Macaca mulatta: one gene and its partners. The protein of the gene in region 4 interacts with the protein of the main gene of each other region in a biochemical or structural test. Links are inferred from orthologs where the notes say so. Each region holds a gene or a part of one and is shown on either strand. Other genes may lie near its edges. The genes, in order: MAPK8IP3, ATF2, ELK1, MAPK9 and JUNB.

Evidence for each region.
Region 1: the proteins of MAPK9 (region 4) and MAPK8IP3 form a complex in vitro, tested with the Homo sapiens proteins (2 studies listed by BioGRID). The link is inferred for Macaca mulatta from reciprocal best matches to the Homo sapiens genes MAPK9 and MAPK8IP3.
Region 2: of the proteins of MAPK9 (region 4) and ATF2, one has a biochemical effect on the other in vitro, tested with the Homo sapiens proteins (4 studies listed by BioGRID and IntAct, with this or other methods). The link is inferred for Macaca mulatta from reciprocal best matches to the Homo sapiens genes MAPK9 and ATF2.
Region 3: of the proteins of MAPK9 (region 4) and ELK1, one has a biochemical effect on the other in vitro, tested with the Homo sapiens proteins (2 studies listed by BioGRID). The link is inferred for Macaca mulatta from reciprocal best matches to the Homo sapiens genes MAPK9 and ELK1.
Region 5: the proteins of MAPK9 (region 4) and JUNB form a complex in vitro, tested with the Homo sapiens proteins (2 studies listed by BioGRID). The link is inferred for Macaca mulatta from reciprocal best matches to the Homo sapiens genes MAPK9 and JUNB.

The regions. Positions count from the first base shown.
Region 1 is NC_133425.1:2,991,911-2,997,039, reverse strand, and holds the end of MAPK8IP3 (C-Jun-amino-terminal kinase-interacting protein 3), read right to left. Parts: coding exon 5,070-5,129; intron 4,704-5,069; coding exon 4,532-4,703; intron 4,462-4,531; coding exon 4,348-4,461; exon of another isoform or gene 4,305-4,347; intron 4,197-4,304; coding exon 4,158-4,196; intron 4,092-4,157; exon of another isoform or gene 4,068-4,091; coding exon 3,888-4,067; intron 3,790-3,887; coding exon 3,640-3,789; intron 3,564-3,639; coding exon 3,442-3,563; 3' UTR 1,919-3,441; downstream 1-1,918. Other genes in the region: MRPS34 (small ribosomal subunit protein mS34), read left to right, coding at 1-47; NME3 (nucleoside diphosphate kinase 3), read left to right, coding at 727-772, 856-986, 1,110-1,211, 1,286-1,398, 1,513-1,630.
Region 2 is NC_133417.1:80,007,317-80,012,008, reverse strand, and holds part of ATF2 (cyclic AMP-dependent transcription factor ATF-2), read left to right. Parts: intron 1-2,951; coding exon 2,952-3,178; 3' UTR 3,179-4,692. UniProt on the Homo sapiens protein: Transcriptional activator which regulates the transcription of various genes, including those involved in anti-apoptosis, cell growth, and DNA damage response.
Region 3 is NC_133426.1:47,661,108-47,667,377, reverse strand, and holds the start of ELK1 (ETS domain-containing protein Elk-1), read left to right. Parts: upstream 1-2,412; coding exon 2,413-2,622; intron 2,623-4,520; coding exon 4,521-4,964; intron 4,965-5,673; coding exon 5,674-6,105; intron 6,106-6,270. UniProt on the Homo sapiens protein: Transcription factor that binds to purine-rich DNA sequences. Forms a ternary complex with SRF and the ETS and SRF motifs of the serum response element (SRE) on the promoter region of immediate early genes such as FOS and IER2.
Region 4 is NC_133411.1:189,304,209-189,310,347, forward strand, and holds the start of MAPK9 (mitogen-activated protein kinase 9), read right to left. Parts: upstream 4,106-6,139; 5' UTR 3,902-4,105; intron 1-3,901. UniProt on the Homo sapiens protein: Serine/threonine-protein kinase involved in various processes such as cell proliferation, differentiation, migration, transformation and programmed cell death.
Region 5 is NC_133424.1:13,345,031-13,350,820, forward strand, and holds JUNB (transcription factor JunB), read left to right. Parts: upstream 1-2,436; 5' UTR 2,437-2,737; coding exon 2,738-3,781; 3' UTR 3,782-4,278; downstream 4,279-5,790. UniProt on the Homo sapiens protein: Transcription factor involved in regulating gene activity following the primary growth factor response. Binds to the DNA sequence 5'-TGA[GC]TCA-3'.

The DNA of each region.
Region 1 (5,129 bases), on a different chromosome or scaffold from region 4:
CTGCAAAACAGGAGGACAAAGGAAGGGCCAAGGGCACCCCCGTCTAGAATGCCAGAACCAGAGGGTGGTCTGAGGGGCTGTGAGGCAGCAGGGATCTTGTAGATGAAAGAAACCGTCTTCGAGTTACACCCGAGTCTGCCCCTCGGAGCTGGGAGGTCACCTTCCGCGACGTTTTCTGAGGATCTGCATTTTAGTGGGGAGGGCTGGGGCAAATCGCCACCTATGTTTTTCCTCTGGCCCTGCTGCCCCCACACCAACTCCGCAGGCTCACGCTGGGGAAAGCGGGAAGCGCTAACTCCCCTTCCCCCATTAGTGCTCTCTTTGCCTGGATCCCGGCAGAAGCTATGAAAGGGAATAAAGAGGAAAGAAGTACCCCGGGTTGCGGTGTCTGCGCGCTGTCTTTAGGACCGGGGAGAGGAGGGCTGATGTGGTCTTGGCCCTGGCCGGGGGGCGGGGGCTCGGGCGGTGCGGAGCAGGGCGCCGCGTGGGTTGAACCACCTGGGCGGGTTGTGGGGGATACAGTTAGTGTCCGAGCCACTGGAGGAGACTTGGCCTCCGCAGCTGCCCTCTGGCCCCCCACGGCTGCTGGGTTCCGGGGTGCAAGTGAAGCAGCCTCCCTGAGTGCGTCCGCGGAGGCCGCCGCGCCGGGACCAGGCCTCTTTAAGCGCAGGCCCCGCCCCGGGCGCCACCGCCCCGCCCCGCGGAGCCCGCGCCCGCACCGCCATCATGATCTGCCTGGTGCTGACTATCTTCGCCAACCTCTTCCCCGCCGGTGAGCGGAGCGGAGCGGCGCGGGCGGGGGGTGGGCGGCCGGTGCTGGGCCGGTCTGACGCCACGTCCCCGCCTGCCCCGCAGCTTGCACCGGCGCACACGAGCGCACCTTCCTGGCCGTGAAGCCGGACGGCGTGCAGCGGCGGCTGGTGGGCGAGATCGTGCGGCGCTTCGAGAGGAAGGGCTTCAAGTTGGTGGCGCTGAAGCTGGTGCAGGTGGGGGCGCGGGGCGCGGTGGGCGAGCGGGGGCGCGGTGTGGGGGGAAGGGGGGCGGGGACCTGGGGACCTGGGGACGCCTGGGTGCCGGGTGCGGGCGCAGGCGGCCTGACCCTTCCGCAGGCCTCCGAGGAGCTGCTGCGCGAGCACTACGCCGAGCTGCGTGAACGCCCGTTCTACGGCCGCGTGGTCAAGTACATGGCCTCCGGGCCGGTGGTGGCCATGGTGAGTGCCCGGGAAGCGGGCGGACGGCCCCGGGACCCCACCCCTGCGTGATACCGCCCCCGTCCCCCGCACAGGTATGGCAGGGGCTGGACGTGGTGCGCACCTCGCGGGCGCTCATCGGGGCCACGAACCCGGCCGACGCCCCGCCCGGCACCATCCGCGGGGATTTCTGCATCGAGGTTGGCAAGTAAGGCTCGCCCCGGGGACGGGCCCAGCCCCGTCCGGCCTCCCCCAATTCGGCCCTCGTGGGACCCGTGCCGGAGCTCTCTTTCCCGCGCTCACGCGCGCCTCTTCCGTTCAGGAACTTGATTCACGGCAGCGACTCGGTGGAGAGTGCCCGCCGCGAGATCGCGCTCTGGTTCCGCACAGACGAGCTCCTGTGCTGGGAGGACAGCGCCGGGCACTGGCTGTATGAGTAGCCCGGCAGGTGCGCCTCGCAGAGGCTCTGACACCCCAGCCTCCTCCAGGGCCCAGGTGGCCGGGCTTCTGGCCCCACCCCGCAGCACTTGGAACATCCACCTGTCAGGACGTTGCATCGAGGGTGGCGCGGGCCTCTCCAATCCCTGGCGTACAGGGCTTTCTGCCCGAGGAGCTGCTCCAGGAGCCTGCGCGGCTCGCCTGGAAACGTGCCAGAACACTGTCCTGGTGCCCAGCCCAACATGGTCCAACGTTTCTTTTTATAATAAAGTGAAGTCCTCGTTTTCGTGTCGGTTTGGGTCCAGAAACAGACGTTTATTACATACAGAGCAGATATGTGGGTTTGCTTGCAGGGCTAAAGCCTGAGGAGAATCGTCACCCCTCCCCCAGCCGCACCACTGCTCAGCCCGGAGTCACTTCGAGATCCTGGGGGAACAGACGAGGGAGCAGACATACATCACAGTGGAGGTGGCAGGGATGGTGGGGAGAAGCCAGCAGCGCAGTGGCTGCAGCCCACGGTGGCCAGCGGGGCTTGTGGGGCAGCTCCCCAAGATCTGTGCTTCTCTGGTTGGGGGTGGGTGCGGGGGCTGGGCTGCCCTCATCAGGGCCTCCCAGACAGGAGTGCAGTGGGCCTGGAAGGTAGGAGTAGGCCAGCGAGGCCCGGCTGGACAGGGAGAGCAGTCCAGGGTGGCCTCTGCCCGCTACGGGCTTGGAGTCGGCTGGGGGCGGCTCCATCCTCAGCCCCATGGGCCTCTGCTTGGTGGCCTCTTGCTCCCGGGGAGCAGGCCACAGCGGGCAACCCTAGGCACTTAGTAGCGTGTCTGGGAGCTGGGCTCCGTGGAGCCCCGTGCAGGAGGCAGGCCCCAGGAGCACATTATCCCCCATCAACCTGAGGCTGAGCCTGCGTCCTAGGACTGAACCCGGAGAGGCCAGGGGCCTCCCCTTCTTCCTGAGGCCTGGGCCTGCCCTGGCAGCCTGAGAAATCCCACCCTGGGGGCTTCTGGGAGGGACAGGACTCCAAGGCCCACTCCTCCAAGGTGAGTCTTCTGCCCAGGCAGAGCCTGGGGGGACACGGCGAGAGCCTGCCCGCGTGGGCAGGATGGGGTAGCAGTCTCTCTTCTCAAGCAGCTGCCCGAGGGAGCTGGGCCTCGTGCTTTCATGCCAGCTCCCTGGGCAGGGGACAGCCGGAGGGGGGGACAGACAGAGGATAGAGGCTTGAGGACGGGGAGGCCCCAGAGAAGGCCGGCTGGGGTGCAGGCACCTGGGCAGCCCGAGGCCCACCTCCCTGGGCAAAGGCTAGTGCCTGGCCCAGCTCCCCTAGGCAGAGTGAGGGCCCGGGAGGCAGGGTGGCCCCATGAGCAGCATGCAGAGGTGGGCCCAGGGCAGGCAGCCTCGGCGGTGGGGAGCCCCTGCCTCCTCCAGGGGTGCTGGGGAGTAGGAGGCCCAGGGTGGATCCAGGGCCACCTTGGGTCCTGCCTGCGCTGGGCCCAAGGTGCCCTGGACTTGAGGACTCTGGGCTGGAAGCTGGCCAGGAGCCGCCCGGGAAACTGTCCCGAGAGCATCTTCCCCTCGGGTGGAAGCACCCCTCCCTTCTCCTCCCAGCTGACTGGCATCCCCGCACTCCCTGCCCGCCGGAGGGGTGATGGGCATCCCCGCACTCCCTGCCCGCTGGAGGGGACCAGACTCAGGTGAAAGCTGCAGGTTGAGAGGTTAGAAGAGGGGTGGCGGCGCCTGGCTGGCTACCCCGCAGGGCAGGCGGGGGTCAGGTGGTCGGGGGTCCTATGTACAGGTCGGGCCAGGCAGGGCAGTGGCCTCACTCGGGGGTGTAGGACACCTGCCACACGATGATGTGACTGCGCTCCGCCTTGGACAGCACGGGCTTCACCTGGCTTATGTCCCCTGTGCCCTCCTCCGTCTCGTCGTCCTCTCCGTCTCCTGCAGGCAAGGCAGCAGAGTGAGGGCCAGGCTCCCCCCGCGCCCAACCTCAGTCCCGTCCCTGGGCCCCGCTCACCAATGCGGAAGTCGATGTAGCCCTCCCCGCCGCTCAGCACCAGCACGTTCCGCAGCTTCTGACCCTCGGCCTCCGAGGCAGGGGCAGCTGGCCCAGGGCCCTCAGCTGGGCTGTCCAGCACACTCCCGTTCAAGGTGGCCAGCACATTCCCTGGGATGGCAGAAGCGATTCAGGACAGTGGCCTCCTGGGGGAGGCGGCAACCACTGGCGTGCAGGGGATGTGGATGGCAGGAGGGGCCCAGCCTCACCTGGCACCGAGACAAAGAACTTCACAGCATCGCGGTGCCCGTGGAAGCAGAGCTGGGCCTGGGCCATGGAACAGTAAGGGATGAAGCTGCTGGCCGCCCTGTCACTGCTGTCATCGCCGTACACGTGGATGATGCCCCCAGGACGGGCGCCCTCCCCAGAGGTGGGGGATGTCTTATTGGCTGCAGGGAGAGAACCCAGAGGCGCTGAGCCCGCATACAGATGGAGGGTGGGAGAGGCTCCGTGGGGGGACAGGAGGTGGCTGGGCTTACCTCGGAGCCCCAGGAGCTGGCCTCGGTGCAGGACCACAGCTGGGGACACAGGAGGAGCATGGGAGAAGAGGAGAGTGGTCAGCGAAGGGGCAGCGAGGCACCCTCCCATGTGGCCCTGCAGAGCCACCCCCGGGAACCCATGGACACCTCTGGCAGCACCACTGCCCCTGCAGGGGTGCATGCCACTCACTCTCTGTCAGGGGGATGGAGATGACCACTCCGTTGCCGGTGCCCACCCAGAGCCGGCTGCCCGCGACAAGCAGGGCTGTGATGCGCACGAAGGAGAAACCCAGTTTGCCGGTGCCTGTGGGGGGAGAGTGGTCAGGGCGGCTGGCCTTGAGCCCCCCGCCACCCCACCTGGCATGGCCCCTCACCCAGCATCTTGCTGACGTAGGGCTCAATGTCCACGTCCTGTAGGTGCTGGTGCGTGTGTGCGTGGTAGAGCCGCAGGGTGGAGTCCAGGCGGATGGACACCCATACGCCATCGCCGATCCACGCCAGCTGCCGCACCTGGCTCTCCCGCCGCGGGTGGGCGTCAAATGACTTCTGTGGAGTCATGGTTGCCCATCAACAGGGCTGGGGAGAGGAGAGGAAGTGGGGAGCCCCAAACCTGCCACAGCCCCAGGGCCACCTATAGCCCCCTCAGATCTTCTTTGCGCCTGCTTTGTGCCTGTTGGAGCCTGACTCATAGGCAGTATAGGGAGGGTGAGACCCACATGGGGCTTTGTGGACTTCCGTATGGAAGGTGCCGGGAGGGTGAGACCCACATGGGGCTTTGTGGACTTCCGTATGGAAGGTGCCGGGAGGGTGAGACCCACATGGGGCTTTGTGGACTTCCGTATGGAAGGTGCGGGAGAGCTGCTGGCTGGCAGGAGCCTCTTCCCCTCCCTGGGGGCCCTGGCCAGCACTCGCCTCAATCTGCATGGTCTTGGGCTGGATGACGTGCACCTTGTTCTTGTAGCCACACCACAC
Region 2 (4,692 bases), on a different chromosome or scaffold from region 4:
TGTCTCTATAATTATAAATTGGAAGAAAAGCTTCTTAGGGACTAATCAACCACAAATACTTTTATTACTGAAAAAATGTATGAGCCAGGCACTGTGGCTCATGCCTTGTAGTCCCAACACTTTGGGACCCCAAGGCGGGAAGATTGTTTGAGCCCATGACTTCAAGACCAGTCTGGGTGAAATAGCGGGACCCTATCTCCACAGAAAGTTTAAAAAAGCCAGACAATTTGGCACACACCTATAGTCCCAGCTACTTGGGAGGCTGAGGCAAGAGGATCACTTGAGCCCAAGAGTTCAAGGCTGCAGTGAGCTGTGATTGTGCCATAATACTCCAGCCTGGGTGACAGGGAGACCCTATCTCAAATAAGAAAAAGAAACTTGTGGACATAGGTAGAGAACTTTCAAGATTACGGAATTGCCAAACAGCTGGTTTCTTTTAGCTTAGGTAGAGCTAGAAGTGGCTCTTTGAGTACACCATGGCTTTCTGTATCTCTCTAGTGCTTGTGATTACACCAGTCATTTTCTCCCCTCACCTAGAACTGGACATAGGTGCAAATATATCACATTGCTTTTACTAATTCTGAAAGTCTGTAGGTAAGCATTCATCCTTTATAATTTACTGTTTTCATTTTGAGTTGTTGCCTCCAGTATGTATTTACATTTCCTTATACCACTCATCACAGATCAGCCTCTTTATTTTTAAAAGCTGGTGTATCCCTTGAACTCAACATTCAGGGAAACGTCAGCCTGTTGTTCTTTTAAAGAATAGTGGTGGGCCGGGCGTGGTGGCTCAAGCCTGTAATCCCAGCACTTTGGGAGGCCGAGATGGGCGGATCACGAGGTCAGGAGATGGAGACCATGCTGGCTAACACGGTGAAACCCCGTCTCTACTAAAAGATACAAAAAATTAGCCGGGCGAGGTGGCGGGCGCCTGTAATCCCAGTTACTCGGGAGGCTGAGGCAGGAGAATGGCGTGAACCCGGGAGGCGGAGCTTGCAGTGAGCTGAGATCCGGCCACTGCACTCCAGCCTGGGTGACAGCGAGACTCCATCTCAAAAAAAAAAAAAAAAAAGAATAGTGGTGAAATAAACAAATAGAGCTTTTTAGTATTCCCTCCAGTTAAACTGTCATTGCCAGTGTTTTGTTTTCTTTGTACATGTAATGATTGGCTATTTTAATATCTGAATTATAAATATTTTATAACATTCATTATTGCTTGATCAGAAAAGTAGAGGGGAAGGGGGGCATTAGTTGAGAAACTACCCATTGGGTGCTATGTTCACTATTTCAGTGATAGGTTCAGTAGAAGCCCAAACTTCTATTGCACAATATACCCGTGTAACACACCTGCATATATACCATCTGAATCTATAATTTTTTAAGTATTCATTCCATTTTGTATGATTTTTAAAGGAATACTACTTCTGGTGGTTGGTTTTGTTGTTGTTGTTTTATTGTACCTTGAGGTCAAGTATCCAGGGGTATGGTTTTGATTTATAGCATGTTATAGAGAAGATGGGGTTCCATCTCATTAATGTATTTTAAAACCTGCTTTTCAAAAATGCATGGATTTGAGGCAGATGTTGAAAAATTCTGTAAAAACTTTATTTCAGAAAATGCACAAGATTAATAATTTTTTTTTAGCTAAAGTTGACACTCTCAGGTATCCCCCTCTGCATCTTCTACATTGCAAATCATAGGCTAAGTCCTGCTTCATAAGATATCCACAATATTTTTTACTAATTGACTTTCAGAATGGGCATCTGGCCATCAGTAAGCAGGCCAATACACATTCTCAGATTTGATTTTAAAAGCCTACTTATTGTCACTTCTGAACACTGAATAAAAAAAAGTTTTAATGCCAAGTGAAAAAAGCAAGGTTCCAAAGAGTACATCCAGTGTGATACTGTTTTTAAAATGTTTCAGAATAAACAGCTGAACTATGTTGCTTAGGGATACATACCTATGTGTTAAAACTACAAAGGAAAAACAAGAGAATGGTTAAAGAAATGTCAGAGTGGTGATTACCTTTGGTGAGGACAGGAACCTCCAGGAAGCAGAAGTGTTAATGGCAGTGTTCTCTCTTAGGTTGGCGGCACGGTTTCCAGGTGTTCATGTTATCATTGTTCCTCATAACTTACATATACTATAAATATTTGTGTGTTATCTATATCAAATTTTTACTAAATGAAATTACTGTATTCTGTTCTATTAAAATAAGGGTGTAAGACTTGTTCAGGTCTAAGTATTTGCAGATTTATTTTTGTAAATACTTAGAATGCCTTTTCCTGAGTATCTTTTCAGTTGCAATGTTTAGAGTTTTGTATGGATTTTTACTTGAATCCCAATTTATTCATGCAACTATAACAGCTGGTGGCATTTAGATTCTAAATATTGCTTATTCTCATATGTATGCATCATTAGAATCAGGTGTTATAATCATTCATGGCTGCAATAGATGGAAAATCAGCCAGAATAAATACAGTTCTGGAGAATGCAGAGGGAATAATTTGAAGATGTAATTTGTATGTAAGACTTCATTTTGTTTATGCATGTGGTTATAAATTTTTATCTTATAATAAGAATGACATGTAGGCCAACCAGACTGAGTTTGTTAAATGTGATACTTATATTTGATTGTATCTGTAAGAGCCTGTCTTCCAAACTCTACCTCATTTTCTTTCTTTAACACTATTTAGCAAATATTTCTTCAACTCTATTCCATAAGGCAGTGGGCACCCAGATGTTTCCATATGCATGGTTGTGCCTTCTTTTGACCTATTGCAGGTAAAATTGCCTACTTCATGACCTATATCAATTCCTGTAATACCAACTTGTCTAATCAGTTTTGTAAGATGCTTTCTAACTTTTTACTCCGTATATTGCCTCAGCATAATGGTGCATTCTTACAGATTTTAGGAAAATGAATAATTTTTCTTTTTTTCACCCAGCTGCTGATAAAGATGATAGTTCAGAAGACATTTCAGTGCCGAGTAGTCCACATACAGAAGCTATACAGCATAGTTCGGTCAGCACATCCAATGGAGTCAGTTCAACCTCCAAGGCAGAAGCTGTAGCCACTTCAGTCCTCACCCAGATGGCGGACCAGAGTACAGAGCCTGCTCTTTCACAGATCGTTATGGCTCCTTCCTCCCAGTCACAGCCCTCAGGAAGTTGATTAAAAACCTGCAGTACAACAGTTTTAGATACTCATTAGTGACTTCAAAGGGAAATCAAGGAAAGACCAGTTTCCATTTATGCGAAATCTGTGGTTGTAAATTTTTTTTTTTTTACTTGAAATTAAATTTGGCTCTAAAGTTGGTGTAGCAGCAGTTGATCAGACTGAAAAACAGTTTTTAGTCTCTGGAAAAAGACTGATTTTGCTTTTTTTATAAATATTAGTAGATTTATTAATTTTTCTGTGCTCAATGTGTAAATTGTATTATAATTCATTGTGGTTTATTTCACTTTTAATTTGTTGGTGTTTTAATAAATGGGGGTGTTACTGAATCTTTCTTCCCACTTCCATTTCTTTTGACCACCCCTTAACCCTCAACTGTGATGGTAGTAGTATTATCATTTATACCAAAGTTTTGCATAGTCCCTGTTGACTTTGTAATGTTAACGGAGTCATAAAAGCACTAGGCAAGAGAAAGATAGAAATTTGCTTTTAATCTTTTTGCCTTTTATTTTGCACATTATGCAAAAGGAAAAACATTAAAGAACACTTTTTTTTAAGTGAGTGAAAACATGGTAAAGACATACAGTGCTTTTATGCACATTGTTAAGCTAAATCAAGGTCATTTATAATCATTTTCCTTTTTTATTTAAGGTTTTAAGTAAACAAATTTTAGAATTTTCAGCATTTCAAAAATGATTTTATTTTTCAAGTCTTAAATTCAATATTTTACACCTGTGTTTTGAGGCTAAGAAATATGAAATTATATAATGTATGATACAGGGTTATCAAATATCTAATAATTTTTGAAATTAGCTCTTGTTTTTCATTTTTTTATTGTTGTTTTTACAGATTTCAGGTTACAAACTGCAAAGTTTATGCATAATTAAGTATGGTATGGTTGCCAGAAAAGCCTAAAATTACTACTTAGAAAATTTAAAACTGTTTACCCCCATTGTCTTGTACTTGCGAGCTAACTTGTACTTATTCTTGTGAAAGCACTGTCATCTTTTAGTAGCAAATTTTGATAATGTTTCTCGTGGAAAAAAAATCAGTATCTATCTTTAGAACAATGTAATTATAATGTGGGAAGCGTGCATAAATGAGAGAGAGAGAGTGTGTGTGTCTGTGTATGTGTGTGCGCGTGTGTGTGTGTGTGTGTGTGTGTGTCTTTCAATAGTTTATGCCAGCAATCTTTGCTTGAATGTTTAACGATGCCTTCAGTGTGATGCTGGCCAATAGATGATTGCAGTTTAAAATGTCATTATTGTGCAGGCTTGGATAACTAACATTCCATGATGTAGCTTGTTTCTGATGAGATGATTGTAGGTACACTTTTCTCATTATCCAATCATCTGTGGGATACTTAGTTTTCTAATGTGCCATTATCTATTTTTATTCTGCAGTTATGTTCAAAATACAGTACATATTTTAAAATAGAATAAATTGTTAAACATAAAATTTTAAAAGTAGTAGATGTGCGTAAGAAAACTTTGTAAAATAGTTATGAGTCC
Region 3 (6,270 bases), on a different chromosome or scaffold from region 4:
AGGTTTTGCTGCCAAAAGAGGTATAAGAAGCTTTCTGCTTTTAGAGCATTTTGGATTTTGGAATAGCAGATAAGGGACTATGAACAAATCAGAAACTAATATTTAGAGCTTATCATATACCTCAGGCATATAATATTTAATCTATACAATATCTTCATGAACTAGGTATTGTTATCCCCATTTTAGCAATGGGCATATCATTATCCCTGTTTTACACATGAGAAAATTGAGGTACAAAGAGGTTAAAGAATATCAGCCAAGCGTGGTGCCTCATGCCTATAATCCTAGTACTTTAGGAGGCCAGGGAGAGAGGATTGCTTGAGCCTGGGAGTTCAAGAACAGCCTGGGCAACGTAGTGAGACCCCATTTCTAAAAAGAAAAGAAAAAGAATATGCACAGGGTCACACAGCTAATAAGTGGCAGAACCAGGATTCAAACACTGGCAGTCTGGCCCTAGTGCCTGGGCAGTTGTCCAGCAGGTCATATTGCCTCTGCTTAGAACAGTGCCTGATGTGTATTAAGCTCTCAGTAGATGTTAATTATTGCTGTCATCGAGAAAGAGAACATTCAGAGCCGAGCATGGTGTCTCACACCTGTAATCCCAGCACTTTGGAAGGTCAAGGTGGGAGGCGGGTGGATCACTTGAGGTCAGGAGTTCAAGACCAGCCTGGCCAACATGGTGAAACCATGTCTCTACTAAAAATACAATAATTAGCCGGTCGTGGTGGTGGGTACCTGTAATCCCAGCTATGCGGGAAGCTGAGGCACGAGAATCACTTGAACCTGGGAGGCAGAGGTTGCAGTGAGTCAAGATTGTGCCACTACGCTGCTCTCCAGCCTGGGCGACAGAGAGAGACTCCATCTCAAAAAAAAAAAAAACAAAGAGAACATTCAGGGATAGTAACAGGACAGAGAGATCAGGCGTTCAGTTTTAGGACGGCTTCATAAAGGAAAGGACCTTCAAGGTGGAACTTGAAAGATGAGAAAGACTGCTAGGCAGAAGAAGGAAGCCCCACGTGGAGTGAGCAGCCTTTGCAAGGCTCTGGCAAAAAAAACCTGAAAAACTTAACATTTATATGGTAGAATTTATATGGTATGTAGAAGATACAGATAACACTCAAATAAGGGGGATGGAACTAATTTTCTATTCTTGCTGTAATAAATTATCACAAATTTAGCTGCTTAAAATAACATATTTGTGGCTGGGTGCAATGGCTCACGCCTGTAATCCCAGCACTTTGGGAGGCCAAGGCAGGTGGATCACAAGATCGGGAGTTCGAGACCATCCTGCCTAACACAGTGAAACCCCGTCTCTATTAAAAATACAAAAAAAACTAGCCAGGCGTGGTGACGGGCACCTGTAGTCCCAGCTACTCGGGAGGCTGAGGCAGGAGAATGGCGTGAACCCGGGAGGTGGAGCTTGCAGTGAGCCAAAATGGCGCCACTGCACTCCAGCCTGGGTGACAGAGCGAGACTCCGTCTCAAAAAAAAAAATTTTTTTTTTAAATAATGAGTTATATTTATAGCTGTTATACCTGTTGACCTGAGGAGAATTTTGAGAGTCCACAGAAAAAAAAAAAAATTGTTATAGGTCAGAAGTCCCATACTGGTCTCAGTGGGCTGAAATCAAGGTATTGGCAGGGTTGTGTTCCTTCTGGAGGCTCTAGGGGAAAATCCATTTCCTGCTCATTCAAGTTGTTGGCAGAATCCAATTCCTTGAGGTCGTAGGACTGAATTCCCTGTTTCTTTACTGTCTATCAGCTGATGGCCATTCCCAGCTTTAAGAGGCTACCCACAGTCCTTGGCTCTGAGCCCCCTTCCTCCATCTTCAAAGCCAACAATGGCAGGTTGAGTCCCTCTCACATTTTGAATCTCCCCTGCCTCTTCTGTCATCACATCTCTGAGCTACCTTTCTTTCTTCATCATCTGCTTTTCAGAGCTCATATGATTAGATTGAATTTAATCAAATAATCCAGAAATAATCTCCCTGTCTTAAGGTTTGTAACCTTAATTTCATCTGCAAAGTTCTTTTCTGCTACGTAGTATAAATAACATACAGGTTCCAAGGATTAGGATGTGGAACAGGGGTGGCATCATCTGGCCTACCACAGTCTGCCCTCTGACCGCCACAGATTCACATTTGTCCCACAGGCAAAATACATTCACACCATCCTAAGATACTCATGAGTTGTATCCCATCACAGGGAGCATCCCAAGCTGGATTGGGGAGCTAGAAGTTAGTCTGGGAATGTTTAGGGAATGATGGTAGGGTTTGAGGACAGAGATGGAGAAAAGATGACAAAAAAAGGAATCCTCCTCCCCCTGACCTCTGCCCCTCCTATGTCCACAGCCTCTCAACTCAGCTGTTTGCCCTCCAGGTACCCCTGGGATGGCGTGAGCACTCCCCCAGCGATGGACCCATCTGTGACGCTGTGGCAGTTTCTGCTGCAGCTGCTGAGAGAGCAAGGCAATGGCCACATCATCTCCTGGACTTCACGGGATGGTGGTGAATTCAAGCTGGTGGATGCAGAGGAGGTGGCCCGGCTGTGGGGGCTACGCAAGAACAAGACCAACATGAATTACGACAAGCTCAGCCGGGCCTTGCGGTACTACTATGACAAGGTACAGTCTCTCAGACCAGGGCTGGGACCCCCCCTAACATTTATGTCAGAGATTTTATTTTGTTTTGATTGCCATAGCTATGACTTTGAAAACAATGTTAAAATTTATCAGTTTTTAACCCATCCATTGGTACTGTCAGGCCAGTATTGGGCCCCTAAGCACTATCTCACCTACTTTCTTGTCTTACTGCTTTGGCAAAAACCATCATTGCATTATTAATACTGACTCCTACTCCCACTCTGAGATCCCCACAGTGATGCTGCCCTGCCATGCGCATTTCATTTTCGTGTCATATTCCTATAGCCAACATTTTGAAAACATGGTTAATAATGGCTGGTCCTCATTCTGTCCTCTGGAAGCCCTAGACCAGTGCTGGGCTTCCCTAGTTATTTCATAATCTTCTCTTATTCCAGAATATTTCATATTCCTAGAATCAAAACCTCCCTGACAGTATTATACCAACTTTTGCTTACTTTGTCCTCTGGGACCCCAACATTTTTAACCAATTATTTTCTTATTCCTTAAGCTAAAACCTCTGTAACAACATGTTTAGTACCAGCTTCCACACCCTATCTTCTTAAATTCCCAGAGCAGCACTGGTCTACCCCAATATTTATATCAATTGTTTTCATTATCTTATTCCTACAGCTAAAATTTAAAATTTCCCCCATTCTGCCCTCTCAGACCCCCAGGCCACTGCTGGGTTTCCCCTCCCCCCAATATTTATACAAGTTATTTCATCTTCTTATTCCTCCTGCTGAAACTTCCAAACAATATTCATGAATATCCCTTTTCGTTCCTCTTTTGAGAAACACGGGCCCACCCTGTGACATATCTGACCAGCACTAAGACTTCCGCAGAATGCCCTAGTGCTCCCACACTCCTCTTGCCCGTGCCCCCAAGAACAGCCCTGGACCTATGCTGCATACCCTTCATAGTTTATGGCATTTATTCCACTTTCATATTTTATTCCTTGAGCTCAACCCTCCAGAACAATATTAGTAATGAGGCTCCCTCACTGTGCCCTCTGGGAACGCTAGGTCATCTCTGAGACCCACCAGACCTGAAAAACCCCAAACATGCTCTGTGACCCACCCAAGCCAGCCTTGATATAGGCCCTCTCCCAATATTTATACCAGTATTTTTAATATTCTTGTCTAATTGCTGTTAGTTACTTCATTTTCTTACCGCTTTAGCTTCAACCTCCACAGTGGTATTAATAATGAGGCCTCCTCGCCCTCTCCTCTGCAGTGACCTTGCCCTATTCCACTTCTGTGTCATTAGCTTCAAATAATCCTCTGTATTAATAATTCATCGCCCCATCCATCTATATTAATTTACTTTCTTCCAACATTTATATCAGTTACTTCATTTTCTTGTCTTACTGCATTTGCTAGTCTCCAAAACTGTGTCCTGACAGTCACCCACAAGGCCTGGCCTGTGAACCCCTGGTTCTTGGAGCCAAGAAGACTTGCTCCCACACCTACTACCTTCCCTTCACGGGCCCCATTGTGAAGAGGAGCCACAGTGTGGAGGGGGTGGGAAAATCAGATAGATAGACCTGGAGAGTGACAGAGGGAGGCTTGGAAAGGGGTGGATGGGAAGGGGCTTAAAGAAAGAATTGTTGTGGAGAGAAGAGAGAAAGGGGAGGAACTAGGGAGGGGTATAGATAAGGGGAATCTAGGGGGAGAGGAAAGAGGTAGAAACCAACGGGAGAGGAAATGGGCTGATAGGCTGAGAGGGGAACTTACAGAGGAGGGACAGGAAAGCCAGAGAGGGGCAAGTGGGAAGAGAGCCACTAGGAGAAGAGAAACACCACTCCACCCCAACATACACACACCCTGCCTCCAGCCTGCCCCTTTCCTCTCAGGCCCTCTGTTCCTCTCCTCCCTTTCTAGAACATCATCCGCAAGGTGAGCGGCCAGAAGTTCGTCTACAAGTTTGTGTCCTATCCTGAGGTCGCAGGGTGCTCCACTGAGGACTGCCCGCCCCAGCCAGAGGTGTCTGTTACCTCCGCCATGCCAAATGTGGCCCCTGCTGCTGTACATGCCACCCCAGGGGACACTGCCTCTGGAAAGCCAGGCACACCCAAGGGTGCAGGAATGGCAGGCCCGGGTGGTTTGGCACGCAGCAGCCGGAACGAGTACATGCGTTCGGGCCTCTATTCCACCTTCACCATCCAGTCTCTGCAGCCACAGCCACCCCCTCATCCTCGGCCTGCTGTGGTGCTCCCCAATGCAGCTCCTGCAGGAGCAGCAGCGCCCCCCTCGGGGAGCAGGAGCACCAGTCCAAGCCCCTTGGAGGCCTGCCTGGAGGCTGAGGAAGCCGGCTTGCCTCTGCAGGTAAGGACTGGAATATAGAAATCCAGTAAGAGGAGGCAGTAAAGAGGACGGATGTGTAATCCCCGGATGATGAGGGAGGCTGGTAGAAGAGACATAGTGCTCCTGTTAAAGGAGATAATGGTGGAAGGAAGAACACAGACATCCTCTTAGAAGGAGGGATGGGACAGAGAGCTACACAAACCCTGAGACAGAAAGGGGAGAATACTGTGCTACAGTTAGTAGCTGCCGAACATGTAGGTGCCTGAAATATATTTGTTTAATGCACTAGTTCTCACACTCTAGCGCTCATCAGAATCACCTGTAGGGCTTGTTAAACCACAGATTGCCAGGCACACCCCCAGAGTTTCTGAATATGTGGGGCTGGGGAGGGGCCCAATAATTTGTATTTTTAACTTGTTACCAAATGAGGCAGATGTTGCTGGTTCAGAGGAAGGTAAATTTTTGAGAACCACTGTTTTAATGAATGAGGATGATATCCCTCAGATTCCCACCTGCTTCAGGTTGTCTTACCCCAAGTCCCCTGTCCCATAGGAGGACTTGCCCCAGAGGAAGCCCTACTTCCTTGATGAAGTCCTATGTCCTGTTGGAGAACCTGCTCTGATGTCCCCAGTACCAAGTGCCACTTTCCCGGGGAAATCACTGGGTAGCCCACAGGAGAATCCTGTGGCCCCAACAATCCTTACCCTCTTTGTACCTGCTCCTCTCCCAGGTCATCCTGACTCCGCCCGAGGCCCCAAACCTGAAATCGGAAGAGCTGAATGTGGAGCCAGGTTTGGGCCGGGCTTTGCCCCCAGAAGTGAAAGTGGAAGGGCCCAAGGAAGAGTTGGAAGTTGCCAGGGAGAGAGGGTTTGTGCCGGAAACTACCAAGGCCGAGCCAGAAGTCCCTCCACAGGAGGGCGTGCCAGCCCGGCTGCCCGCGGTTGTTATGGACACCGCAGGGCAGGCGGGCGGCCACGTGGCTTCCAGCCCTGAGATCTCCCAGCCACAAAAGGGCCGGAAGCCCCGGGACCTAGAGCTTCCACTCAGCCCAAGCCTGCTAGGTGGGCCAGGACCCGAACGGACCCCAGGATCGGGAACTGGCTCCGGCCTCCAGGCGCCTGGGCCGGCGCTAACTCCATCCCTACTTCCTACACATACATTGGTGAGTGCCTGGGGAGGTGTGGGATGGGTGGGTGCCAACCCCAATGGGACTGGCATGTGGCAGGTGACTAACGGGAATCAGAGGAGGGCGAATGTGGTTGTCCCTGAAGAGGGTGGAGCCTTCGAGTGTGATTGACTGGGCTGACGCTGGACTGGAGGGATGGGG
Region 4 (6,139 bases):
AATCACTAACTGACAGAGATTACAGAGAAACACATTAAATTACACTGCAGAGATGCAATCAATCAAATACCAACTGTGGAAATGCTACAGAACAACTTGATTGCTTCAACAAATAAACTACCAAGAAAACAAAGAAATAGGAGGGGGATCTATGGATGAAGAGAAACTTAAAAGACGTATCAACCAATCAACAATGTATGGACCTTATCGTGCTCTACCTTCAAACTATTAAGGAAACTTAAAATTCATGGGGCAGCTGGAAATTTGAAGATTGACTAGTTATTTGATGATATGAAGGAATTATTACTTTTTCACCTTTAAAAGAGTCAGGACCTTTAGAGACCCACCGCAGTGTGCTGTATAACTACTGCATACCTACCGAGCACCCTGAGGTTGTGCCTGTCTGTATAACTACTGCATACCTACCGAGCACCCTGAGGTTGTGCCCATCTGTATAACTACTGCATACCTACCGAGCACCCTGAGGTTGTGCCCGTCTGTATAACTACTGCATACCTACCGAGCACTCTGAGGTTGTGCCCGTCTGTATAACTACTGCATACCTACCGAGCACCCTGAGGTTGTGCCCGTCTGTATAACTACTGCATACCTAGCGAGCACCCTGAGGTTGTGCCCGTCTGTTTTACAGATGAGCCCGATCGCTTCTGCACATCACCCAGATAAGCAGCAGACCCACTGGGAGTCTGACTCAAAGTCCTGATCTGAACCACTGCTCCGAGCTACCCTACCACATGTATTCTCCCGTTTAGCTTTGTCTTTAACAAACATTTCCTGGGCACCCACTGTGTAATTAGCATCCTGAAAAATAATGAATGAAATGACATGATATTTAGGAATTCCTTGAAAATAATTATGGGTGGTAAGTGTGTAAGAGGATAACATTAGAGATGAAACAAGATTGGTCAGGAGTTAATAACTGTTAAAGCAGAACGCTATTCTGTTTAGTTTGTATATGTTTGAAAATTCCCATAATAAAAGTTAAAATTTAAAAAATGATGTTGAAACCGGATCATACAATCAAGTACAAAATATCAGGAATTAATTATTCTGAAGGAAAATTATGGAAAAATGGCACCTTCCTAACCAAGTGTCAGGTATAACTACTGTATGTATGTAGACCAAAAATAGTTGCCCTATTGGCAAATCAATAGTCTTAAGAAGAAAAAAAATCTGGTCTCTGTTTTATGTCTCACGAAAACTGGTCTAGTCACTATTAACTGGTTTGTCTGGTCCTTTTCTTTATCCAGAAAATTAAAAATATTTTATCTTAGACACATTCAAGAATCCCCTCTAATGTTTATTCAGGGAACCAAATAAACAGATTTTAGTCTGTGAACAAATTAATGTTCTGGCACCCTGAAAATTAAATTACCAGGAAAATCAAAGCTGTCCAGAGAAGTCTATGCAAAAATAGTATTGTTTTTAACTCTGCAGGATCCTTTTGAAGAAAAATTTAAAAGTTAAATCAAGGAAAACATTAAATAGATTGGTGGTCATTCTTCCAGAAGAAGTTAAAAGCCAAAAGAGAATACTCAGAGCTGAGGGACTCAGGAAAGAATCCTTATCTAGGGAGAGATCTGGGTTCGGATTCCACTCACCAGCTGCTTGCTAAGAAGCAGACTACTCAAACTCCTGAGCTTCCGTTTCCACAGGGCTCCAGTTACAATCAAATGAGTATCTGGGCTGGCACCTGGGCAAACAGGGCCTGACTCTCCTGGCCTTAGGCTACCTTTCCTGCTCTCCTCACAGCTCCTCCCTCCCACACAGCCACTCCTGGAGGATGACAATCTGCAACCAAGCTGAATGAATCTGTATTTGGCTTGGCTCACAGCATTTAAAAAAAAAAAAAAATTAATTAGCTATTGCCAACATTTAAAAATCGGAACAAATGTGGAGTGCTGCCTTCTGTTTTAGAGACAGGGTCTTGCTCTGTCACCCAGGCTGGAGCACAGTGGTGCGATCATAGCTCACTGCAGGCTCAAAATCCTGGGCTCATGGGATCCTTCCACCTCAGACTCCCAAGTAGCTAGGACTACAGGTGGATGCCACCACACCTAGCTAATTTTCAAAAATTTTTTGTAGAGACAGGGATCTCACTGTTGCCCAGGCTGGTCTTGAACTCCTGGCCTGAAGTGATCCTCCCACATCAGCCTCCCAAAGTGTCTGAGATTACAGGCGTGAGCCATGGCACTAGTCAAATTCCACCTTCTTCTAGAAAACTGCTGGGTAAGGTTCCAGTTCTTCAGAGTCCCCACGACTCTGTGCCCTTACACCTGGCCCTCCAGACTGATTCTCAACTCCACAGTGGGCTATGGTCCTTACCTGGCCCTGCTCCTTCATACCTCTGCCTCTCCCTGCCTAGCAAATTTCTCATCACCCTCAAGGCCCCCCAGCATCACCTGTCACCTCCTCCACATTTCCATGGCATAGCCCCTCCACGACAGCAAGGGTTGCACAGTCCTGGAACTAAGTGTCTGCATGCCTGCCTTCTCTACTGGGCTCCTGGGCTCTCTTCGGAAAGGGACCCTGTTGCTATCTGCCTTGTGTCCCTAGGGCCTAGCAGAAAGCATGACCTAGATAATGCAGAATTCAGTAAATGTCTCCTGCATGTGTGGAAGAAAGCTAGAGCTAAACCATTATAAAAATGTGAGATTTTACATCACAGCTTGTTCCAACGGTTAGCAATTAAAGGGGTCAAGGACACCAAAATGTTTCACAAAATAGAACAAGCTTCCATCTGCTTACAAGTTTCACACGTTAATCAGAAGTCACTAAATTAACAGATAAAGCAGAGACAACAGGGAGACTGGGCCATTTCTTTGATCATTCATTCATTCATTGAGCTGATACTACTGAATACTTACTGTGTGCTTTCTAAGTACTGGGGATAAAGCAGTGGACAAATCAGACAGCTACCTGTTTTCACAAAGTTACATCCTAGTCGGGGAGACAGAAAATAAACAGGCAAATAAATAGAAACGTTTCAAACCAGGTAAGAGCTAGGAAGGAAATTTTTAAAATAATGAAATAGCATGACTAAGGGAAGAAAGAGGGTGGTCGAGGAGGGCCTCACCCAAACCGAGACATCTGGCCAGAGGAAGGAGCAGAAAGAGCTACTTGTGCCAAGATCACAGACAACTCCAAAGACGAGGAAACAGCAAATACAAAGGTCCTGGGGCAAATGCGGGCTGGCATGTTCAAGGCGGGCGAGATGAGTGGACTGGGGCAGCAGTCTTCTGGGAGAGGGGTGTGGTGGTAAGGGATGTGGGCTGGGTCCCCTCTGGCACTGCTGGACACTGAGTGTGCAATGACAAGGCAAGGGAGGCGTGCGTGGGGAGGCGGGAGGCTGGGCGGATGAGGAGGGGGTTCCTACACCACTCACACCGGCAAGGGCCAGCACCCTGCCCAATCTTCCACAAATGTTCACCGGCGTCCTGCCCAGGCGTCTGCATACACTCACACAGCCTGACAACAACCCTGTCCAGAAGAGGCATTTCCCCACCTTCCTGAAGGCAAAACCGCGGCAGAGCGAGGGTCAGTGCCTTGGTCAAGGTCGCGGGGACGCGACCCCGGGCCCCTGGGCCCCCGGCGCAGGAGTGCAGCTGTTCGCCCCACCTCCGCGAGGGATGGCGCCCGCAGACCCCACGGGCAGGTCGGCCGGGCCAGGCCGGGGAGCAGGCCCGCAGCCCGGAGCCGCTGACAGCCGGGCGGAAGGGGGCGCCTGCGGCATCCCCGAGCACAGGGGCGACGGCTGCGGCTGCCAGGGCCCCGCAGCCCCCGGCCCACCCCGAAACCCCGGCCGCGCGGTTCCCCCGCCGCCCCTCCCCGCGGGCCCGGCCCGAGCAGCCGCCGCCAGGCCTAGCCCGCCCGCCGGGCTCACCTCGCCTCCCCGCCGCCGCGCCACGGGGAGAGGGCGGGCGGGCGGACTGGCGGCGCTGCGTGCTAGTCACTCCTGGCTCCGCGGCCCCGGCTCCGCCACCGGCCCGCCCCGCCGCGCTCCGCCCCGCCGCCGCCGCCGCCGCAGTGGGTGTGAGGGGCGCCGGGGCGCTGCGACCCTTCCGGTCCCGCTCCCTTCTCTGCCGCTGCCGCCGCCGCGGCGCCCGGTCTGACCGACCCTCGGGCCGACCAATCAGCGCGCGGAGAGCGGAGCAGGCGCGGCCAATGGCGCCTGGGGGGCGGGCCGCTGGAGGTGGTGTGGGCGGGGCCGGGGGCCGGGTCGGGCGCCCGAGGTCCTGGGCCGGGGTTCCGTGGGTTCGACGCCCCCGGGCCTTTCAGTGGCGTCGGCCGACCGGCCATGGCGCTCGGTTGCGCGCCGCGCACGCGGTGAGCTGGAGACGCAGGCACTGCGCGTCCCACCAGCTGAGCCCGCTGTCCGCGCGAGGGGGCCGCAGCTCGGGGGAGAGGGTGGCCCGGAGGACCGGGAACCGGGCTGGAGGCGCGCGGGGCTCACACCGCGGGGTCCGCGGGGAGCCGGGCCTCGCCTACAGGTGCAGGCTCGTGGCGGCGAGGCGGCCTGGAGCAGCACGGGAGGCCGCCCGTTTCGGGGAGAGCCCGGGGCGATCGCGGGGAGAGGCCGGCCTGGCGTCCGGGAGCCCGGCGTGCTAGGGCCCGGGAGGCGGGGCTGGCCTTGTACTCGGTTGCTCGCTGCGGCGCCGCAGGAACGGGTCTGTGGGGGTGTGGGTGAGGCCAGAAGTCGGGTTGGAGAAGGGGAGGGGGTGCGAAGAGATGGCCGTGTGTAGACAGGTTACCCGATGGGTCGGTGACGCAGGAGGGGAGTGCGCTTGGTGGCGGGGTGACTTAGTTGACAACATTTAAAAATTGGGAGGTGCGGCAGGGCGCGGTGGCTCACGCCTGTAATCCCAGCACTTTGGGAGGTCGAGGCGGGTGGATCACCTGAGGTCAGGAGTTCGAGACCAGCCTGGCTAACCAGGTGAAATCTGTCCCTATTAAAAATACGAAACAATTAGCTGGGCGTGGTTGCGGGCGCCTGTAATCCTAGCTACTCGGGAGGCTGAGGTAGGAGAATCACTTAAACCCGAGAGGCGGAGGTTGCAGTGAGCCGAGATTGCACCATTGCACTCCAACCTGGGCGACAGAGTGAGACTCTGTCTCAGAAAAAAAAAAAAAGGGAGGTGCTCAGTCAAGTCTCTGAGAGGGGTGGGGGGCGGGGCGAGGAGTCCCTTGCTCAGGGCCCCCTAGGGACTGGGACCCGTTGACTCTTGAGTTGCTTTTGAGGCTGGATCAGGTACCAGCGGCCTGGGGGTCGTACAGGATGGGAGAGGCCGGGACTTGGGATGTTGCCAGATCTACGTTGAAAAGTGAAGCAGGAAGCGCGGCACGAGGCTATGCACATGGGGAAAACCGCGGAGAGCCGGGCTTTGGGGACTGGAAGAGTGGGAACAGTGGTTGACAAATGGTGAGTGGGGGGTAGAACAGCAGAAACACAATACCAGTATCCACGGAGTGGCCAGGGCCAGAGTTGGGAGAAGGAACAGGACTCTGCAGATGGGGAGGGCAAGGGGCTGGGTGGTGTGAAGGGTGGTTGCAGACTTTGGGGAGGGCAGCTAGCCTGTGACCCAGGTTCCAAGGGCACTGAGGGCTGGGCCAGGCCGCTTGGAGGCACCAGAGCCTCAGAGGAGGGGTGGGGTAGAGGAACGGATGCAGCATGGTGTCCTCCTTGGCCACCAGAGGGAGTTTGCTAAATCTCAGCATGGCTCATCGCGGCTTGAAATTCTACCTCGCAGTGTGGCCTGCATTGAGGAGGGCCCACACCTGTCCTTACCTCAGACTCACCTGCCACCTGCCTCAGGTGCATGAGAGAAAACAGGAAACCAGAAATTGCCAGGATCAAGGATCATGGGAAAAGAGTAAAAGCCTAGCTGTCAGAGCTGAGGTTCCACCAAGGAGCACTGATGGGTGCTTCTCCTCATTAGGAAGGCTACGCGGTGGCTCACACTTGTAATCCCAGCACTTTGGGACGCCGAGGGGGGTAGACTACCTGAAGTCAAGAGTTCGAGACCAGCCTGGCCAACATGGTGAAACATCATCTCTACTAGAAATACAAAAATTAGCTGGGCGTGATGGTGGGTGCCTGTAATTCCAGCTATTCAGGAGGCCG
Region 5 (5,790 bases), on a different chromosome or scaffold from region 4:
CACTGCTGGACTTCCCCCTGCCCCCACATAGCTCAGTTTCTTTTTCGCCTCTTTCGTTTTCCTTCTCTTTCCCACACTTGGTGAGATCTAGGCTGCCCCAGAAAGGCTGTTTAACCCCTATCCCTTAGCCTCTTTCTACCCTAAAGAAGAGACAGGCTCTCTTCATCCTCCAGAAGACAGAGGCCTGGGAAGCTGAGAGAGAGAGAGACTAGGCTTCTCACCTCTTGGTCTAGTGGGTTCACACACAAACTGCTCGGAAGTCCCACCTTAAGTCTAACTGGAAGCCTCACCATCTGCACCTCGCCGCAGCCCTTCCCCGGGAAGGGGCTCTGGGTTCCCTTATATTATCCCCTTAGATTTTCAGGTCTTCTCTGACTGGGGGAGGGAAGCCCTCAGATGAAGGAGCCACTCTAGGGAAGGAGGGGGGGCTCCCTCTAGGTATTCTGGATGATGGATGGATGGGACCCGCAGACTCAAACGAGAGTGGGGCCCCTGACCCACATGAGTGAGTGCGGGGTGTTGGGGAAGGAGCCCCAGACCTCCTGGCAGAAGGGAAGGGCACCCCACCCGAGGGAGGAGGCAGCCGCCGTTCCAGCCCGCCCAGGCGCCGGGGGCGCCTCGAGGCATCGGCCCGCCCTCTCCGCGCCCCGTCGGGCCGGGGGCGAAGTCCGACCCAGGCCCGCGGGCAGGCGGGGACCTGCCGGGCTGGGTTGGGCCAGGCCCGGCCTGGCAGGACGCAGCCCCAGAGCGGCGGGGCGGGGCGGGGCTGGGCCAGGCGGCCGTGGGGGCCCCGGGGGCGGCGGTCGGGGCTGGTCGGGACTAGCAGTCCGGGGGCCCAGGCGCGCCCTGGGTCCTGGCAGATACTCGGGCTCCCCACTTCTGGCTCTGGGCCCCAGGACAGCGCTGGTCCCACCTCTTCCTGTGCCCTAATATGGGCGGCGGGGAGACACTCCGGGGGCCGCCCCGCCCTCAGTCCTGCCTGCGGACTCCCGCCTGTTGCCATGGCGACCAGGCCCCGCTCCTCGACTGCGTCCCCCGCCGTCGGGCCAATGGAACAGTCCCATGTTGCCTGCCTCCGCGGTCCCCTGCAGGCGCCGCGGGCGGAACCATTGCTTGAGGGGAGAGGATGGTGGCTGGAGGCTTCCGTGGCTGGGCAGGCTCCACGCACCCGGGCCTCCGCGGGGGCTCGCACGCCCAGGTTCCTCTTCCGAGGCGCAGGATGCGGTGGGACCCAGGGCGGGGCGCACGGTCCCGTAGGATCCAAGTGACGGAGACAGGGCCGGGCTCCTTCCCCCGGGGCTGTTGCCACACTTCCTGCCTCGGCGCTCTTTCCCCAGCCTGTTTCTAAGGAAGGGAGTGGGGTTGGGCGACCGCGCCCCAGCCGTCGGGCTGGGTCCAGGCTCCAGGAGCCGACACGGTGTCGGGCAAAGCCCAGGGTCAATAGGGGAGAGTTTTAGGATGGGGGACAGAGAATACAGATGCCTAGGAGGTTACCCACGAGGGGGAGCACCAGTCGTGGAAGATCCAGCAGTCCTGGTGCGCAGGACCCTCAAAGCCCCCTCCTCGCATGTCAACTGAGTACCCTCTTATTGTCTTCTCTGCTCCGAAGATGTGTCCGGACCCTTCTGACTCTCTCCTTCATCCGGGCTTCGCAGATGACCCCAGTGGTCACCAGTTTCTGGCAGACTTGTCTCCATCTTCTACCCTGCATATTTTACCTGCCTCAGTGTACCGCAGGACGCTTACTCGCTTTCTGCATACCTAGATTTCCCCTAATTCCTCCTTCCCAATTACGGGAGAGCCCTCAGACCTTCCCATGGGCTCCTGGACCCTACTCATTTCTTTCAATTTAATGGGTCGTGCAGCTCCGCCCACTCACCCCTTTTGATCTCTCCCCTCCTCCATCCTGTGAAAATTCCAGCCCCGCATCCTTCTATGCTCGGGACCCCCAGTCAATTCCTGGGTCAGGTGTCTCCTTACCCCTCCCGATTTACCGTGCTTAACCCTCATTCCTGCTTTTTGGGGTCTCCCAATGAATTGTCCTACCCCTCTCGTATTCTGGGTACCTCAGGGGTTTCTTCGCACACCCTGAGATCCTCAACCTACTTGCTGCGTACCAGGTCCTGGTATTTGTCCCAGTGGACTTCAATGAAATCATCCTCCTCCCTGAAACCCCTCACTCATGTGCCTGGGCCCCCAGGCCTCCTTCCATGCGTACCCCGGGGTCCTTTGAGCCCCTCCCCCTGCAGGCCCGCCGAGCCACCCGGCCCGTGGCCGCTGTTTACAAGGACACGCGCTTCCTGACAGTGACGCGAGCCGCCTCCTCCCCTTCCCCACGCTCGAAGAGGGGGGCGCGGGGGCCCGGCTTCGGCGACGGCCAATCGGAGCGCACTTCCGTGGCTGACTAGCGCGGTATAAAGGCGTGTGGCTCAGGCTGAGCGGCTGGGACCTTGAGAGCGGCCAGGCCAGCTTCGGAGCCAGCAGGGAGCTGGGAGCTGGGAGCTGGGGGAAACGACGCCAGGAAAGCTATCGCGCCGGAGAGGGCGACGGGGGCTCGGGAAGCCTGACAGATCTTTTGCGCACAGCTGCCGGCTGGCTGCTCCCCGCCCGCGCCAGCCCCCGAGAACGCGCGACCAGGCACCCAGTCCGGCCACCGCAGCGGAGAGCTCGCCGCTCGCTGCAGCGAGGCCCGGGGCGGCCCCGCAGGGACCCTCCCCAGACCGCCTGGGCCGCCCGGATGTGCACTAAAATGGAACAGCCCTTCTACCACGACGACTCATACACAGCTACGGGATACGGCCGGGCCCCTGGTGGCCTCTCTCTACACGACTACAAACTCCTGAAACCGAGCCTGGCGGTCAACCTGGCCGACCCCTACCGGAGTCTCAAAGCGCCTGGGGCTCGGGGACCCGGCCCAGAGGGCGGCGGTGGCGGCAGCTACTTTTCTGGTCAGGGCTCGGACACCGGCGCGTCTCTCAAGCTCGCCTCTTCGGAGCTGGAACGCCTGATCGTCCCCAACAGCAACGGCGTGATCACGACGACGCCTACACCCCCGGGACAGTACTTTTACCCCCGCGGGGGTGGCAGCGGTGGAGGTGCGGGGGGCGCAGGGGGCGGCGTCACCGAGGAGCAGGAGGGCTTCGCCGACGGCTTTGTCAAAGCCCTGGACGATCTGCACAAGATGAACCACGTGACACCCCCCAACGTGTCCCTGGGCGCTAGCGGGGGGCCCCCGGCTGGGCCCGGGGGCGTCTACGCCGGCCCGGAGCCACCTCCCGTTTACACCAACCTCAGCAGCTACTCCCCAGCCTCTGCGTCCTCGGGAGGCGCCGGGGCTGCCGTCGGGACCGGGAGCTCATACCCGACGGCCACCATCAGCTACCTCCCACACGCGCCACCCTTCGCCGGTGGCCACCCGGCGCAGCTGGGCTTGGGCCGCAGCGCCTCCACCTTTAAGGAAGAACCGCAGACCGTGCCGGAGGCGCGCAGCCGGGACGCCACGCCGCCGGTGTCCCCCATCAACATGGAAGACCAAGAGCGCATCAAAGTGGAGCGCAAGCGGCTGCGGAACCGGCTGGCGGCCACCAAGTGCCGGAAGCGGAAGCTGGAGCGCATCGCGCGCCTGGAGGACAAGGTGAAGACGCTCAAGGCCGAGAACGCGGGGCTGTCGAGTACCGCCGGCCTCCTCCGGGAGCAGGTGGCCCAGCTCAAACAGAAGGTCATGACCCACGTCAGCAACGGCTGTCAGCTGCTGCTTGGGGTCAAGGGACACGCCTTCTGAGCGCCCCCTGTCCCCTTACGGACACCCCCTCGCTTGGACGGCTGGGCGCACGTCTCCCACTGGGGTCCAGGGAGCAGGCGGTGGGCACCCATCCTGGGACCTGGGGGCGCCGCAAACCACACTGAACTCCCGCCCTGCGCCCAGTCCTTCCACCTCGACGTTTACAAGCCCCCCCTTCCACATTTTTTTGTATGTTTTTTTTCTGCTGGAAACAGACTCGATTCATATTGAATATAATATATTTGTGTATTTAACAGGGAGGGGAGGAGGGGGCGATCGCGGCGGAGCTGGCCCCGCCGCCCGGTACTCAAGCCCGCGGGGACATTGGGAAGGGGACCCCCGCCCCCTGCCCTCCCCTCTCTGCAACGTACTGTGGAAAAGAAACACGCACTTAGTCTCTAAAGAGTTTATTTTAAGACGTGTTTGTGTTTGTGTGTGTGTTTGTTCTTTTTATTGAATCTATTTAAGTAAAAAAAAAAAAATTTGTTCTTTATTAATTTCTGTTGTCTTTTTTTCCAAGCTGGGAGGGCGGAGGGAAAAAAAAGCACTGGTGTGCCCCCAGCTCAGTGCTGTTGGTGGCTCGGTCCTGTATGTGTCCCCCTCGTCGGCTCTGCGCAGGCATCTTGTGGTCCCAACCCGGGAGTCCCACCCTTCCCGCGTCCCCGAATCTCCAGGGTTGGATGGTTGGGGCGCGGGACGCAGTCCAGGGACACAGTAGCTGAAGGCAGGGCGCTGGGGGCGAGACGCGGAGCGCGCAGGCGCGGCCCCGCCCAGCAGTGCGCGCCGGGGCTTTCCCCGCTGACGCAGCGGAAGCGTTGCCCATACAAGGACCGATTCTGCCCAGTGACGCGACCGCGGTCTCTGGGCAGATTCCGGGAATCCCCTCCCCCGCTCTGCCGGGCAGGGCCGCAGCGCCGGGAAGGGGGCCGGGATTTTCCCGGGCAGGCGGCTGCCCGGGCACGGAAAGCCCCAGGCCTGGGTCCAGAGGGCCCGCGGTGGGCGGGCAGCGCTCCTGGGCCCCGGGAGCCACCTCTGTGCTACCTTCAAGACACTGGCGCCTGGGCCCCGCCGCGCCCACGCCCCCTCCGTCTGACCTGACCGGGGCAGAGGGTTGCTGCTGCTTGGGCGGCTTTGCCGACACCCTCCCCTCTACCCCCACCCCCGCCAGGAAGGGCGGCGCCCGCCTGCCAGCTTCCCCTCCCGGGTGCCAGGCCAGGAGCGGGGCGACTGCCAGGTCTGGTTCTGCCGGGGCGGCTGCTCGGGCCGCTGGGCGCCGCCACCGCCCTCGCGCTGGGCTCCCTCCCGCGCAGCTGGGACACTTGGGGGTGGGGGTGCCGGTGCGGGTGCTGCTGGCACGCCTGGAGGGAGTCTGGCCGGCTTCGGGGCTGTAAGCCCCCAGAGCAGTGGAGAAAAACAGGTAGAGAAACTAGACAGGCAGTAAGGTGAGTGGAACAGACACTTCATCAATTCATTTGTGCAATACCTAGAACAACTAGACCCTGGAGACACAGTCTGGACCCCTCCAGACAAGACAATAAATAAACAAGCAAGCATGGTTCTTCAGAGGTGGTGGTAAGTGCTAGTAAGAGGGAAAAAAAAAACCACACACACACACACACACACAGGTCAAGGTGGCAGTGATGGGGCAGAGAGGAAAGTTGCTTTGTAAAATGGAGTGGGAACATGGACCTTTAACGGGGCGACTTTTTCTTTTTTATGTTTTAGAGACCGGTCTTGCCCTGTTGCCCAGGTTGGAGTGCAGTGGTGCAATCATAGCTAACTGCAGCCTAGACCTTCTGTGCTCAAGCAGTTCCTCCCACTTCAGCTTCCCAACTAGCTAGTACAGGCACACACCACTGTGCCTGGCTAATTTTGTTTACTTTTGTAGAGATGGGGTCTGCTATGTTGCCCTGGCTGGTCTGGAACTCCTGGGTCAAGCAGTCCTCCTGCCTTGGCCTTTCAAAGCACTGGGATTCCAGGCATGAGCCACCGGGCTTGTCTCTCAGTGA